2 linked regions of the Neurospora crassa OR74A genome follow. The protein of the gene in region 2 interacts with the protein of the main gene of each other region in a pairwise test. Links are inferred from orthologs where the notes say so. Each region holds a gene or a part of one and is shown on either strand. Other genes may lie near its edges.

The links.
Region 1: the proteins of ypt-1 (region 2) and NCU01907 interact in binary tests that used the Saccharomyces cerevisiae proteins (3 or more experiments, as listed by UniProt). The link is inferred for Neurospora crassa OR74A from reciprocal best matches to the Saccharomyces cerevisiae genes YPT1 and SED5.

Annotation. Positions count from the first base shown.
Region 1 is NC_026501.1:2,073,956-2,077,924, reverse strand, and holds NCU01907 (syntaxin 5), read right to left. Parts: upstream 2,807-3,969; 5' UTR 2,276-2,806; coding exon 1,997-2,275; intron 1,927-1,996; coding exon 1,397-1,926; intron 1,342-1,396; coding exon 1,236-1,341; intron 1,168-1,235; coding exon 1,129-1,167; 3' UTR 498-1,128; intron 353-497; 3' UTR 90-352; downstream 1-89. UniProt on the Saccharomyces cerevisiae protein: Required for vesicular transport between the endoplasmic reticulum and the Golgi complex. Acts as a target organelle soluble NSF attachment protein receptor (t-SNARE).
Region 2 is NC_026502.1:3,521,412-3,525,578, forward strand, and holds ypt-1 (small GTP-binding protein), read right to left. Parts: upstream 2,729-4,167; 5' UTR 2,456-2,728; coding exon 2,445-2,455; intron 2,186-2,444; coding exon 2,062-2,185; intron 1,992-2,061; coding exon 1,944-1,991; intron 1,876-1,943; coding exon 1,648-1,875; intron 1,590-1,647; coding exon 1,389-1,589; 3' UTR 508-1,388; downstream 1-507. Other genes in the region: NCU08476 (hypothetical protein), read left to right, coding at 3,984-4,167. UniProt on the Saccharomyces cerevisiae protein: The small GTPases Rab are key regulators of intracellular membrane trafficking, from the formation of transport vesicles to their fusion with membranes.

The DNA of each region.
Region 1 (3,969 bases), on a different chromosome or scaffold from region 2:
GTGGAAAGGAAAGACAGAGGAGGATTGACCAGTTATATCAAGTTACGTTCGAGGAGAAGGTTGTCCAGGGTTTGAGCCACACTGGACATTCGGCTAAATGGCAATCGGCGTTAGAGCGTGGGGGATAGTTATGGTGTTATCGATTCCGAGAAAGCTACATGTTTGTAATGATTCTTTTTCTTCATGTTGTCTGTACCTGACTAGGTAATCATGAGACCTGAAATTCCGACTGTAATTATTCATGGACAGCGTGGATGGAAGTAACAACGGAACATCGACACGCCATTGTGTAACTCGAACATCGTGAACTTGGGTTTGAGGCGTCCAGAAATACGGCACTCGGGGCTTCTGTCTTTTCGTGTTTAGTCAGTACTCGATGGCATTCGGCGTTTCGTTAAGATATCAGACAGTACTTCGAAGGTGGGATATCGACAACCTCGCCAAAGATAGCCCCAGCAACAAACATCCGGTCAATGGAACGGATGGCATCCTCTCACCTTACCCCGCGAAACTTGGCTGAATCTAACAAGGGCCTCGGCGGAACGATTGCCCCTCTGTCGGAATGAGACCTTGCTGTGGTGTCGGTCCGCTCTACTATAGATAGTGGTAACAGTGAGTGGCCGAGTGGATCCGTCGTGTTCGCTTGCTCTGGGTTTCTTTCTGGGGCTCGAGCGGAGAGCATTAGTTCCAGGTACCGAAGCTGAGTGGAACTGAAATGATTACAGTTGCAGGAACTGGGGGCGTGGAGTGCTTAGTCTAAACCTGTTCCTCTATTGGTGGCATTTAGCGTAAGCGAATTCCGTCGGTTAAGTATTTGTTGACCTTAGATGAACCGAGAGCGAACTTTGAGTCTTGATCCCTATGCTGAAGCCAACTTCCTCGGCAAGTAGGTATAAATAATCAAATGCCCCCACCGACCATCCAGAGGTATACCTGAGCTCTATCAGCCTTGCAAGAGGTTATGTTGTGGAACAGTGAAAGGACATGGAAGAGCGCATGCAAAAAAAGAACCGCATCTTCATGAGGAAGAGAAATTGTATAATTAATGCATAAAGTCTACAAGAGACGCCTCTGCATGCATTATAAAGAAGAAGTATAATATTACTGAAACGCCGCCACAACTGCCGTCTACCCGGCAATTAATACCCAGAGAAGGAAGAAAATCATCTACAAAGTCGCACAGCGTTAGAGTTTTATGCAGGGCATAGGTAACAGAGCAGGAATACTGGGCTTACCAAAACACCAAACATCTTGGCTAAGAGCCATCTATTACTTGAAACACGGCTCCAATATTTGAGCAGTTCTTTTTGCGCGCCTTCGACGTTCTCTACCACGTCCTCTCTGCATGGTGTGTTAGTACAGTGCTGGTGTGTCGAGCGTCTCGAGACAAACCTACGTGTTGGCATCAATTCTTTGTATCATCTCAGATTGTTCGCTGACCATGGCCGCGAGCTGCCCAAAAATGGAACCCAGCTCATTGATAGTCGACTCGATGGCCTCGATCGCTTGCCCTCGTTGTTGGACGTAGGTGTTTTGGCCTTCCTCCAACATCTGGAGCTGCATCTGCTGATCTCCCATCGGGTTCAGCGAGATCAGATCTTGCTGCCCTGGTGCTGGCGTTCCCCTACTAGGCGTGCCGTACAGAGGTGACGCAGATTGTTGCAAGGAAGCATGTGCGTGCTGACCTACTGACGAGACAAAGTTCTCGGTCCTCGACCGCGACGCCTGAATGTTCTTGGTTCTGATTTCGAGCACGTCCTTGAAATTAGCACCAACATCTCCCAGCTTGCCCTGTAGGAGCAGGAGAATGTTTTTGTTGTTCTCCCCTTCTTGGTCGGGCTTCGGGTGCAGACGTCTAGAGAGATCTTGCAGGTTCCTGATCTTCTCGTTCAACGAAGACAGGTCTTGCTTGATGACAAAGGTCAACTAACATAATGGTTAGCCAGCCAGTTATGGAGTCGAGGCGCGCAAAGATCAAGCGCATGACCCAGCTTACCTCGTTGATTTCGACCGGCCTGTCATCGAAAAGAGTCTTCTTCTTGGCCAGCTGTGCTAGCTTTTCCAGCTTGGCCATTGTCGCAGAGATACCCCTTCCAATCTCTGCAGCCCCCCTCGCAAACTCAGACCTTCTGGGCTGGGCATCGCTGCTGGCAGCATGTTGTTGAGCGGTGTCCAGAAGTCGCTGCTTTCCTGGCTTTGTGGCCTGCCTACGCTGGGCAGCCGCAACAATCTGTCGGAACTCTTCCGTTCGGTCGTTGATGGCAAAGACAGCCATAATTAGAGGTGTATCGGTATATGCTGAGGCGGTAGTCCGTCCGTTTCCAACAGCTAATCGCGGGGAATGGGTCGTAGAGGGGCGCGTGTACCCCTGAGCAACCGGCACGCGGTTAAGTCGTAATCAATAACACGTCGGAGTTCGTAAGTCAGGAATCGAGACGTCGTCAACTTTGTCAATCGTGACCGGGGGCGAATGCGACTCGTAGGCTGCGAGTTTGCGGAGGAGATTATGGATTGGCAAAGTGGAAATGGGCGGATCCGGGGGATGCGGCGGGAGCGAGGCTAATTCGCGACTGGCGAGGAGGTCGGCGGCTGGTCGTGGGTGTGTTGATTGAAGGTCGTATTTATGAAAGGCGCTACACGATGGACTCGCGATGACGTATGAATGAGTGGCGGTGTTATAAGTTCGTCGTCGTGGTCGTGGTCGTCGCCGTCGTCGAGTCAAATGGTTGGTGTCGTGGTCGTCGAGGTTGAACAAGCTCCTCCGTTGTTGTCATCAGCGACGGGAGTTCGATAAAGGGAAAACGTGGTTACTTTACTTACATAGTTTCAGGAGGGCCCGTGACGCTGCAGTGTGTGGCTCGGCCCCTGCAGTTGAGTAAGAAAAGCTCACAGTGCAAAAATCCAAAGCTGACTGACCAAGACACTGTTGTTAAGCATTCAGTTAAGCTAGACTCGCTAGTAGTACATTTGATTGGACATCAGCCCAGTCTTTTTAAAGAATCAACTTCCCGATCAACCTTGAAGTCGATAACACCTCGGCACTGCAACTCAATGTTCTTTCACATTGTATTTTTTTGCCACTCTTTGGAATAGTATGGTTGCCCCCACACTCAGACCCAAAAGCCCAAGAATGGGAGATGAATTTCTGGTTATCCGAGCCAAAGGTGTGAGATGTGACTAGAGGTATGTCATTTTTACATGATGGGGTCACGTCTGTCAGAATGGGAAGACGCTTCGTTGAATGCCCCTGGCCTCTGGGTTACTGCGTTTCTGACCCACTGCGGCCCATGGATTTGGGGTACTACCTCTAGTACATGAATGAACGTCAGGCCGGGCGCTTGGAGCTGAGCGGTACCAGAAACTCAAGGCCTGTCACTGCAGCGCCAGCAAGGGTGGAACGCCATTAGCATCGATCGAGGCGCAACCAAAGTAGGTAGCTAAGAATTACCTCTAAGTAGATACTCTAAAAACGGATGAAATCCGGGGTATCATTTCTAGAGCCATTGTGACTGCCTTTGAACTAGGGCTTCACAAAACCAAACAACTTGCAGCACTTCTAATTCTCATTCAAATGGGATTTTCCCCCCTTTCCTGGCGAGTTATGTGGTTTGCTGAGGCCTGAATGCCCCGTAGAAGCGTCGCCGTGAAGGCCTCTCTCTCCAGATACCTATACTTGACTAAAGAATTGAATGCAAATTATCAGTACTTTCCCCTTGTGTAGTGAGTTCGTAAACCTAAAAGAAGCTTCCCTTCGGCTTCACCTCACCTACCTCTACCCAAGAGGTCTACGAATACCTTACATATTCCGAAAATGTAGAGCCACAGGTTTCTCTAACTGCATCCGCGGCCGAGTGCGGTGGCATTCAGTTAGTGCCTTACAGAGTGGAGAGTCTAATAGCCTGTCTCATTAAAGCTCGCCCCACGTCCGCCTGACGTTCCAATGCTGCCCTGGGCTGCTGATCCCTGCCG
Region 2 (4,167 bases):
GAGAAGAGAAGTGTTGAAACGCAACAAGTTCATTTGACTCACTTGGGTACTCATTTACTCACTTACTCACTTACTCACTCACTATTATGCTGCTGTTAGTCTATCATCAACGCAGGGCGAAGAGTCCCGGGGTCAGTGGATATGGGAAAACGTAGGTAGAGATACGTATAGCGTGCAGGCAAAGTCACCATGGATGGGAAGAAGAGGGCCTGACAAGAGATGGAAAGTCGGATCCTGGCTACGGGTATAGTTGTAAAGCAAGCTTTTAAAACCGAGTGTCTCTTCAATCCTTGAAGCGGTTGATACCTGCGATTACTGATTGAATTGGGGTGCTTCAACACAACAAATCCTCAACTCTGATATGGCTGGCTATACTATCCGTGATATGGGACAAGGGGCATTTACCGACCGTCGATTGGACTTCTCATAAATATACTGCTGTCAAGACCCTGGAGAGTGGGTTATCCACAGCAGTCTGATCGTGGCCTTTGGATCAGCCGGCAGGATGTCCAAAATCTCAATGTTTACAGATCCAGTTAGACTATCAAACTCTACTAGCATAACCAAGTCCGTCACTTTGAGAGACTTCATCAAGCGCGAGTAACTATCGAGGACGTCTAGAGCTGGCTAAGGGCTTGAAGTCTGGTGAGCATTTGTTTTTTATGCATGGGTGTGCCTGTACGTGTGGTTCTTCTTGGTGTAAATGTGCCGGTCATCTCTCTGAAGCGAAAGGTTTCCTCTATGTGTGAGAGAGCTGTAGCATGGAAAGATCAGTGGGTTTGCCTCAAAACACAAAAATAGCAAAAACTGTAGTCTAGCTCCTTAAAAAAAAAACCAAAAGTAACAAATGTGTTTAAAAAAAAAAAAAAAACCGTGCCGCGTCCTCAGTTATGCCCAAGACCGAAAATACACACACGCAACACACACACCCCCAACATCATCAAGGGTCGTGGAAGCTCTCTAAGAAGCCCGCCGCCCATCCCATGTCTCAGCCAGCCACTCTTTCCCCCCTTGCCCTTTGCCAGGAATCGTGACGGACACTGGTGATGAGCCAACTATTAAGCTCCCTTTTCCGGTGCGTTCGATCACCATCCTCTTAGGCCCCACCCTAACCTGTCCCGGCAAGCGAAGAAGAGCCCGCGGAACCGTGTGATGAATTCCCAAGGTAGCATGTAAAGCCGCCCCAAGTCTCCTCCCATGTTCCTCGCAAAACCACAGAAGCAGAGCCGAAACATTCCCAACTGAGATCCCATTAGAGCAGCATTTGCATCACAGCTCAACCCAGTGCCCACGCCGTAACATTCAATCGCATCATCATGTCGTCAAACACCGTCCGATGCGAAACCGTAACGCCAAGAGCGCAACCAATGCCGCAAGGCACAGACGCTTTAGCAGCAGCCGCCGGAAGAGTTGTTGGAGACGCCGTGGCCGGGGGAGACGTTGACGCTGGCTTTCGTGTTGTTGGTGGCGATGGAGCTGCCCATGCGCTCCTTGATCTGGCGGGCCATGGTAAGGAAAGCCTGCTCGACGTTGCTAGCGTTCTTGGCGGAGGTCTCGAGGAAGGGAATGCCCAGGCTGTCGGCGAACTCCTGTTGGTTGATGTGTAAGTATGTGGCTTAGACACGAGGGTTAGGGGTGGCTGTGTACCTTGGCGACTGTGTACTCAACAACCTTCTTGTCGGTCATATCGCTCTTGTTGCCGACGAGGAGCTTGTTGACGCCCTCGGTGGCGTAACGGTCAATCTCCTGAAGCCATTGCTTCACGTTGTTGAAAGAGTCCATATCCGTGACATCGTAGACAACGCAGATGCCGTGGGCGCCACGGTAGTAGGAAGAGGTGATGGTACGGAAACGTTCTTGGCCAGCGGTATCCCACTGAATAAGCGACTGGGTCAGCGAATTTGGATTTCCAAAGTGTCCAGGAGTGCCGGGGGGTTGCTTACGATCTGGAGCTTCACGGTCTTGCCATCAAGCTCGATAGTGCGAATTTTCTAGCCAAACGGTCAGCATGTTGATGGGGGTCGAACGCATGTGTTGCGCAGGCAGGATAGCAGGACGTACAAAGTCGACACCGATGGTGGAGATATAGGACTCGGTGTAGGTATCGTCGGCAAAACGAAGGAGCAAGCAAGACTTTCCGACACCGGAGTCACCGATGAGGAGGAGCTTGAAGAGGTAGTCGTATCTGGTTGCATCGTCAGCAGGGTTCTTTGGGGGTGGTGGCGGCGGTGATCGGTCGAGTCGCGAAAGGGAAGGGGACGACGTCGGGTGAAGAGGGGAAGCGGTGGGCACCCTGAAGGTTAAACATGTTAGCAATCCGTCATGGAAACAACATGGGATACGGGCGGCGGCGATGATTGTAGGTGGCGGCAGCGTGGCGGCGGCTTACGGTGATTTGGGAAGAGCAGGAGAAGGGCAACAGGAGACGTGATTAAACCTACTACTCAGGGTTCATGATGGGCAACGAGGGACGCGCTATGCGATGTGGTGGTGTTGGGTTGAGTTGGACAGCGAAGAAATAAGGCGGGTATCGTAAGGTGGACGGTGGTGGAGCGAAAGATGGATGGTTTCGCTGAATGAGATTAGGTGTAGGTCGTTGGGGGTGGGAGGTCGGTCTGTTGGTTGATTGATGATGTGGAGGATTGTAGAAGTCTAGTGTAGGTGGGCGGATGGAAAGGCAGCAACAGCACGCAGCATAGAACCTGGAACGGGCAACACGCAGAGCAACTTAACACGGGCAGTTGATGGAATGGGAGAGCGCCCTCGGCTGTCCTGGCTGACTGCTGGCAGCGAGTGGCAGTGGCAGCCCACCCACACCACCCGCACACTCTCCGGGCGGGGGGGTGATTGGCGACCGCCGGCCAAGAGGCGGGACACTGATCCATCCAAAACAGGGGACTCAAGCGGTGACGATGCACGTGACGCAGCAGCCGCCTCCTGACCCTTTCCCACTTCAGTTGCGGTATGTACGGTATTGCACTAACAATCTTGGAGTCGTCCCGATGATGTGCATTTCACAGCTAAACAAGTCCCAAAAGAAAAAAAGACAAAAAAAAACAATGATGATGAAATGTGGTTGAGATTCCAGGTTATTCTCTGTCCAAGAGACGACAACAAAGTACGGCTACGGAACTTTTTTGTTTTGGTATACCTCGAAAGTGCTTTGGCCGTTGTTCCCATGGCTACCTTTATTATCGTGGACTTGGAGGCTGGGCCACCTGAGCGGTGTCCACATGGGCTTCCATTGAATGAATGAATGTATCAATGAATGAATGAATGAATGGATCAATGAATGAATGAATGATTCCCTTTTTTTTGGATTTGGGAGCAACATTGATTCACGGGTCCAACGGACTCCTGATCTTAGGAAGCTTCTAGCTTCAGTTAGGTTCCATCATCCAGCACATTTACATATGTATGCCGATAAGATAAGGCTCATGTGAAACAAGTGTACGAACGAAATGAGACCTCAAGGTTCTGGATATTTGACCACAACCAAAATTACGATGAAGCATATGTCGTTTCATTGTATGCAACTAGGTTGCTCTCAAAGCCTCCTGACCTACACAATGTCCATGGATAGAGTGTTGATGATCAAGATCCAACCCCACAAAACATCACTATTGGAATCCCTGTCCGTGGGGAGATCCGGTGAGCAAGTGGAAGCCGATCCACCCGATTACCGACCCTCTTATCAGCTCTGTGGTCAACCATCCGAGCCAATCCGTCACTGACATCATTCCACCCGCTGTGCGGCACTCTTCGTCAGAGAGACAAGTCAACCACTTGGCGTTTTCACACTCTTGCAAATTGCATTCAACCCGGCCTTATCTTGCATCGATCCCAGCCCTATACACACCCCATAGTATACATACTTACACTGTCCATCTCAGCGCGGCGTGTTCCGACAGCCCACGTTGCGAGTCCACTCGTGTCGGCCCAGGTACCCGACCACCAAAGTGTTTAAAAACACCCACTGCACCATGTCGGCGCCCACGAGGATACGAATAGCTGCTGGTGGTGTGGTGGGCAAGCAACAGCCATCCCAATGCCGATCCTACTTTCTCTCAAACCAGCCTCCAACACATTCGCAACCGACCTCATCACAGCCGCCGCCGCCAACCAAATCATCAACAACAAAAGTTAGTGGCGCATCATCGTCACCCG